2 linked regions of the Sus scrofa genome follow. The protein of the gene in region 1 interacts with the protein of each later gene in a biochemical or structural test. Links are inferred from orthologs where the notes say so. Each region holds a gene or a part of one and is shown in the gene's direction. Other genes may lie near its edges. The genes, in order: FLT4 and VEGFD.

Region 1 (4,247 bases):
GCTTTAAATTTTGCATTTATAATATATGGATATATACTTTCCATATGTTAAAACTGAACAAAAAATTGAAAGAAAATAAATAAATGGTTGAGGAGGAGTTCCCGTTGTGGCTCAGAGGAAACAAATCTGACTAGCATCCATGAGGATACAGGTTCGACCCCTTGCCTCACTCATTGGGTTAAGGATCTGGCATTGCCGTGAGCTGTGGTGTAGGTCACAGATGTGGCTCGGATCTGGCATGGCTGTGGCTGTGGCTGTGGCTGGCAGCTGCAGCTCTGATTTGACCCCTAGCCTGGGAACCTTCATATGCCATGGGTGCAGCCCTAAAAAGACAAAAAAAAAAAAAAAAAAGGTTGATGAAAATATTTAATTTCATTTATTTGGTTGCTAACTTTCCCCAACATTATTTATTAAATCATCTAAACTATCACCACCTACTTGTGATTATTACTGAATATATTCCATTCTTACTTGCACTTGAGATTTGGTAACAGTTATTATCAACAATGGTTTTGGGCAAGGATGAAGGGAGTTTTGTGGGGGCCTGGAGGTGGGGGATAATAAAAGTGTGAAGTACAAGAAAAGCAGAAGAGGGAGATAGCCATCATCATGGGATTTGTTTTTAAATAGGAAAATTCTAGAGACAGAACTGAAAAGAGAAAGGACGTCTGTGAGGTTGCCAAGTCAGAGAGCAAAGTGTCACCTGATAAAAGGACTTATGAATGAGCTTTGAGCAAAACTATTTGGAGATCTAAGGAGGAGCCCATGCCTGCAGGATGGAGGTTGGTTCACTGGGTGCCTGACCAAGGATACAGCCTCTATCTACACTACGGACACAGTAAGGTATAAAGTTTGTGGAATGTTCTCAAAGATTTGACATATTCCTACTTTAAATTATATTTATTGCTCTTTTTTCTTACTTTAAACATAGTATTTATTGACTAAAGAAAATTACAGAAAAATACGTGCTGCCACATTTTTGTGCAACCATTTTAACGCACAGTAAAGAACTGGTACATTACCTGCATCCTCTGCCTGCTCGGAGAGGCCCTGGGGCGGGCCTAAAGGACTGCCATTGACTCGGAAGTGGGGCCGCCAAGAGCCAGCCTTCCCTCCGCGGTGCACTGCCAGCACCCTCAGAACTAGGCCGGACACTCCATTGGTTGGGGGCGGGACTGAGGTACGACTGCAGCCCAAGACCCCTGGCCCCGCCTCTGGAGTCCCGCCCCCCGGCCCCGCCCCGGCTCTGGCCGCAGCCCCGCCCCGGCCCCGCCCGCGCCGCGCCGCGAGCCCACAATCACAGCCCCGAGCCGCGCTCGCGCATCTGACCAGTGCCACAGCGGCCGGAGATGCAGCGGGGTGCCGCGCTATGCCTGCGCCTGTGGCTCTTCCTTGGACTGCTCGACAGCAAGCGTGGTGAGCCTTCCGCCCGCCTCATTGCTCAGCCAGCCTCGAGGGGGGACGCTTTCCCTGGGCGTACGGTGGAACCGCACCGACGGGAGACAGGCGGGAGACAGGGCCACCAGGACCCTTGGGCAAGAGGGGAGACAGGGTCGGGAGCCAGGGATACAGGCCCCAGAACCTGCACAGAGCTCGACGATCCGATTCGGGCTGGGGCCCGCCGGTTTAAGGAAAGGGCGGGGACGGGGCGCCGGGCATAGAGATCGCTCTCCGGGTCCAAGACTTCGCTCCACCGTCTATGGCTCAGCTCCCTTGGAGCTGGGCCCCGTTGTGCTGCATCCTCAGCCTGGATCCTTCTCTTGCTTACGCGCTTCCCGGCGGAGTCTAGGCACCTCCGACCCATGCACACTGAAGATTGCAGTCCCGTTGGGGTCACAGACTTGGGTGCGCACTTCCCGACGCCTCCTGTCGGAGCTCCAGCTGTCCCCCAGAGGGAACTTGCAGTTAGTGTCCACCTTCCCCAGGCCAGGGACTGCGGGGGCAGGGTCTTGGGGACCGTGGGAGATAGGCGCCGTCGGGCGGTTTGGGTGCAGATGGTACCTGTTGGGATTTGAAGCGAATCACGAGGTAAGTGATCGGCGTGGCCGGCCCTCACCCTGTTTAAGGGGATCGAAGCCTTGAAGGCTGCGCTAAGGATTTTGGATCATACGGTGGGGATGGCCAAGGAGAGGCGAGGTCCGGCTTCTGATGCGAGGTTACCACTAAGGGGCTGGAGGGAAGGGAATGTGAAGGATGAGAGAGGGAGCAGAAGGGTATGGCTGGATGGAGGTGTCAGGATTAAAGCATCAGGAAAGAGGGGAAGATGAACTGGTCACCATGCAAGATCTGGTGACCCTGGAAATCAGAGGGTAGAGGAAAGGTCATGGGTTCCCTAGTAGTTGAGGAGTTTTGGGAGGTCTGAGGGAGAGATGGGGACCTCACTATTTTTTTTTAACACTGTGGGCTTTGAATACTGGCTTCATTTCTTTTAATCCTCACAAGGGAGTGTTAGACTCATTTTACAAATTGGGACATTTAGACCAAGCACAGGTGTCATTTCCCCAAGCTCTTCGGGAGGCTGGGAGTAAGAAGAGGTCAACTCAGATCTTTGGGGTAACAGAGTTCTGTTCTTTGTGCCTACACAGGCTGAAGGGCTGAGCACAGGGGAGGTGAGGGAGGTGTGGGGAGGAGGAGGGAGGTAGAATTTGTCTGAGCTCAAAGCAGAGCAGGTCTGAGTGGAGGGGCTACCACTTAGCCCTTCTTCGCTCCCCTGCACCCTGCCTAGGGCCAGGCTCTCACAGGTGCTCATTATGTGTTTGTTGAATGACTGAAAGAGTAGGGGAAGAGAAGTGAATGGGTCCCTGGTTGGACTTCGGGGCTGAGGGGCAAGAGGACACCCCTGGAGGAAACATCCAAAAGGGAGTTAAGTGTAGTGTCCAAGGCTCAGGAGAGAGGCTGGGTTGGGGAGCTGGAGAGGGAGCAGAGCAAAGGCTCCAGAATGGGACTCCCATCCCCCAAGGAGGGAACCAGAGGAGGGAGAGGCTTCCAGAGGGGTGGGAAACATTCCACATGTGAGGTGTAAGGGAAACCAGGAGAGGCTGGTATCCTGGTGCTCCTGGGTGGAGCAGAACGGGAGGTAGAAGGAGGATGAGGTCAGTCCAAGAGTGAGTGCCGTGGTTCTTACCAAAGTTGGGCAGTAAAAGGGAAGAGAGAATATTAGCTGAGAGGGCCCATGGAGGGAGGGTGGCCCAGGCTGAACCAGGGCATGGCTGCTGGGGAGATTCCCCATGGAGAACAGTCCATCTCCACCCTCCCTGAGCTTTGCATTTGCTCCACCCATTTCTGGGCCGAGGAGGACCTGAGGAGCTCCCACCCTGATGTGGTTGCTGGAGCAGAGGCACACACATTCCAGTGCAGCCAGGTGTCAGTGCAGCCAGAGTGGGAGGCCAAACACTGGCAGGGGAGAAGCCTGGGGACTCTGCAGCTGACCCTTAAAAACTAATGTTGGTCCCAGAACCAGACTTGTCCTAGTCCTGTCTCCTAAACTCCTTGCTGTGTGGCCTGGGCCCCTTTCTTCCTTTCTCTGTGCCTTAGTTTCCCCATGCACAGCAGTACAATAGGCTGGCAAGTGCTGAGGGCCTATGCTTGGGGCTGGACTTTTTGGCCCACAGTGTCCTTGTAGACAAAGCAGGTGGCAGATGTCATCTTCAACAGGCTTTGTCTCTTGGGGCTTAGTCTAGAGAGGGGCCGTTTGCACCTCTGGTCAGTGGACAGTCAACTTAGGTACATGTGGGGAAGGAGGCAGCTGCTAGGAAGCTTGGTTGGCCTGGCCTGAGGCTGCTGCTAGGGGCTGAATCACACACAGCCATCTCAGCTCTTCCATGTCCCTGCTGAACAGCCCTGAGCCAGATCCAGGTGTGGACAGAGGTGTGGGGGTTAGGTGGGGATGCAAGTCAGTACAGGCAGAATGTGGGGGCTGGGCCCATCTTACTGAGTGCCTGTGGACCACTGACCCAGTACAGTGATCTGGGAACTCGAATGCAGGTCCTGCTCATGTACCTGCCATGCCAGAGGCACTGGGTCAGAGTGGCTGAAGGGTGCTCTGCCTCCCCAGAGCACAGTGTCCATATGGCCAGACACCAGGCTGGGCATGAGGTGTAACAAGGGGACTGCCTAGCCAGCTCCTTGCTATACCGTCCCCACCCTGGGCAGTGGCACCCCAACCCAAGGAAGGGGACTGCAGTTCTGGGCAACTTGAAAACTATGGTGTCTGTTCAGGGTGGCCCAAAGAGGATTTGGACCAAGTC
Region 2 (3,812 bases), on another chromosome or scaffold:
TTTTGTGTTTTCAGTGATCAGTGAAGCTATATATGAAGAAATTTGAGATTTGCAGGGGGGAAGGAAGAAGACTGTGGAAAAGATGTTCTAAGGGAATAATTTAGACTAACATCAGCTCTGTAACAATAGTATTTTTTTTCATTTATAATGATTTTTATTTCTTCCACTGTAGTTGGTTTACAGTGCTTTGTAAATTTTCTGCTGTACAGCAAAGGGACCCAGTCACACATACATATATACATTCTTTTTCTCCCATTATCCTCCATCCTGCTCCATCATAACTGACTAGATAGAGTTCCCAGTGCTATACAGCGGGATCTCATTGCTCATCCATTCCACCTGCAATAGTGTGCATCTATGAACCCCAGATTCCCGGTCCATCCCACGCCCTCCCCCTCCCCCTTGGCAACAATGATATTTTATCTGTACACTTCAGAAAAATGTTCTGTCTTTTCTAGTGGAAATGTGTTTATATATACACAGGAATTCAGAATCTTGGCAGAAACCAATTACATATTTTTCAAGACGGGCGAAAAATGGAGAGGAGGTTATCTATTGTGGTTTAACACATTACCCCAAAACTTAGCTGCTTCAGACAGCAGTGTTGTTTGTTTGTTTGTTTGTTTTTATGGCCATACCTGAGGCATATGGAAGTTCCCGGGCTAGGGATTGAGCCCGAGCTTCAGCTGTGGCTTGTGCCACAGCTACATCAATGCCAGATCCTTTAACCCACTGCGCAGGGCCAGGGATTGAACCCGCAGCCTCCGCAGCCACCCAAGCCACTGCAGTCAGATTCTTAACCCACTGTGCCACAGCAGGAACTCCCATATAGTGGTTTTTTTTTTTTCTTTTTAGGGCCACCCCCATGGCATATGGAAGTTCCCAGGCTAGCGGTCGAATCAGAGCTACAGCTGTCAGCCTATACCACAGCCATGGCAACACCAGATCCATCCATAGCTTAACCCACAGCTCATGGCAACACCAGATCCTTTGACCTGCCGAACAAAGCCAGGGATTGAGCCTTCCTCCCCACGGATACTAGTTGGGTTCACTAATGCTGCGCCACAATGGGAACTCCCCCAGACAGCGCTTTTTATCTCACGGTCTCCTGGGTCAGAAATGCAGGTGTGACCTTAATTGATGTCCTTCTTTCAGAGTCTCTCCAGAGGCTGCAAAGTATCAGCTAGGGCTGAAGGCATCATCTCAAGGTTCAGTTGGGGCCAGATGTGCTTCCAAGTTTACTCACAGGTTGTCAGCAGGATTCAGTTCACAGGCTGTTGGACTGAGGGTCCCAGCTCCTCACTGGCAGTTGGATAGAGGCCACCCTCAGTTCCCTACCATGTGGGCCTTTCCAACGTGGCAGCTCGCAGCATCAAAGCTTGCAAGCCGAGGAGGCAAGAGAGGGTGCCAGCAACAGATGGAGACTGTTAGCAAGATGGAAATCACAGTCTCTCTTAACCTAGTCATGGAAGTCACATCCCATCACTCTTGCTGTATTCTCTTCCTAAGAATCAGGTCACTAGGTCGAGCCCACACAGAGAGGAGGGGATTACACAAGGGTGTGAACACCAGGAGGCAGCCAACACAGAGGGTCAGTTTAGAAGCAGCCAACCACCAAGGAATTTCACCACCCCTGCCCCACGTATAATCAAGTCTCCAATTCCATGGCAAACTAAGTCTTTGAAATGTTGTCTTTATCATAAAATTGAATCATTTCTCAAAAATATCCACAGAAAGGCTGTGCAACTGTTAAGTATCAAAGTATCAAGATCTAATTAAGGAGTTCCCGTCGTGGCTCAGTAGTTAACGAAGCCGACTGGAAACCAGGAGGTTTCGGGTTCGATCCCTGACCTTGCTCAGTGGGTTAAAGATCCGGCGTTGCTGTGAACTGTGGTGTAGGTCGCAAATGCAGCTCGGATCCTGCGTTGCTGTGGCTGTGGCGTAGGCCAGCGGCTACAGCTCCAATTTGACCCCTAGCCTGGGAATCTCCATATGCCGTGGGAGCGGTCCCAGAAGAGACACACACACAAAAAAAATCTAATTAAAACAATAAACTATGAGAGAAAAGCAAGTGCTATTTTAACAAGATTGCATATAATCTTGTTTTTATTCCCAGAGGCTTCTTTTTCTTGTTTCTCACAAGTTAGCTAGAATGGCCAGAATATTGCTCCTTTCATCAAAATGAACCCCTTCTTTCATCATTTTGTAGAAACATCGGTATCAGGCATTTGCAAATGAGAAAATTCTGACTCGAGGAAAGATTAGTTCCACTTAAATTTTCGTTTATGTATTTGCCAGGTTTGAATCCTACAGTAGGTACTTAAGGAACCAACAGAAACGGATTTCTTGATGGTGCTGAAACCTACCTGCAGCTGGCTTCAAGAAGAAATGCTATGTCAATTGCTTAGTAAATAGTGCTTACATGTTATTGCTTTACGTGCATCCATTTACTTCCTTATTAGGCAGCCTCTCTGCATGTACCTGATGTGGTTATTTTTAAAAATTTTGAGTGTAGTTGATTTAAAGTGTGTTAGTTTCAGGTGTACAGCAAAGAGATTCAGTTATACAGATACATATTCATAGTCCTATTCACATTATTTTCCCATACAGGTTACCACACAGTATTGAGTAGATTTCCCTGTGCTATACAGTAGGTCCTTTTACTTATCTATTTTATATAAAGTAGTGTGTATATGTCACTCCTGACCCACCGCCTAATGTATCCCTCCCCCCACTCCCACGTTTCCCCTTTGGAAACCATAAGTTTGATTGCAAAATCTTTGAGTCTGTTTCTGTTTTGTAAATAGGTTCATTTGTATCATTTTTTTATTAGACTCCACCGATAAGTCATATCATATGATATTTGTCTGGCTTATTATGGTAATCTCTAGGTCCTTCCGTGTTGCTACAAATGACAATATTTCATTCTGTTTATGGCTGAGTAATATTCCATTGTATGTATACACTACATCTTCTTTATCTCTTCACCTGCTGATAGACATTTAGGTGGCTTCCATGTCTTGGCTATTGTGAAATGAGCTGCAGTGAACCTTGAGGTGCATAGATCATCTCCAACCGATGTAGTTCTATACAGGACATGGTGATCATCACCAATGGAAAGTAAAATTCTAGTCTATGCAGGTATCATATCAATAGAAAAGAACACAGATTTGGGTCGGGATTGTTCTGAAGACAATATGTGGTTGAATGGCTGACCCCAATCCCCCATCTAGTGAGATAAACATGAGAAGGTGTTCCGTGTCGCCCTGGCCCACGTGGGCCTGTCAGGGCCGTTGGTTCTGCCGGCCCACTGAGCTCCTCTCTGCAGTTATAGATGAGGAATGGCAGAGGACGCAGTGCAGCCCTCGAGAGACGTGCGTGGAGGTGGCCAGCGAGGTGGGCAGGAGCACCGACACATTCTTCAAGCCTCCCTGCGTGAACGTGTTCCGGTGTGGCGGCTGCTGCAATGAAGAGAGTCTTGTGTGTGTGAACACCAGCACCTCCTATGTTTCCAAACAGGTATGAGGACATCAGCCCTGCCGCTGATCGCACTGACAGCTCCGGCTCAGCTTGTTGCCCAGCGCTGTCTCCATGCTTGATGTGCGTCATTGCCTTTAACCCATGAAACCAGCCAAAAGGGTAGCTGATCGTCTTCCCTGATAGATGGAGGCGCAGAGAGGGGACTTGTGGCAGAGCTGGGATTCAAAGCCGGGTCACTCCAGAGTCTGATCCCTTGTCAGTTACCGTCTCTCTGATGATATAAGGTCAAAAAATCACGTGGAAGTTTCTAGAACAGACATTAAAAGGACCAA

The links.
Region 2: the proteins of FLT4 (region 1) and VEGFD form a complex in vitro, tested with the Homo sapiens proteins (2 studies listed by BioGRID). The link is inferred for Sus scrofa from reciprocal best matches to the Homo sapiens genes FLT4 and VEGFD.

The regions. Positions count from the first base shown.
Region 1 is NC_010444.4:78,074,731-78,078,977, forward strand, and holds the start of FLT4 (vascular endothelial growth factor receptor 3), read left to right. Parts: upstream 1-1,277; 5' UTR 1,278-1,349; coding exon 1,350-1,416; intron 1,417-4,247. UniProt on the Homo sapiens protein: Tyrosine-protein kinase that acts as a cell-surface receptor for VEGFC and VEGFD, and plays an essential role in adult lymphangiogenesis and in the development of the vascular network and the cardiovascular system during embryonic development.
Region 2 is NC_010461.5:11,906,258-11,910,069, reverse strand, and holds part of VEGFD (vascular endothelial growth factor D), read left to right. Parts: intron 1-3,328; coding exon 3,329-3,519; intron 3,520-3,812. UniProt on the Homo sapiens protein: Growth factor active in angiogenesis, lymphangiogenesis and endothelial cell growth, stimulating their proliferation and migration and also has effects on the permeability of blood vessels.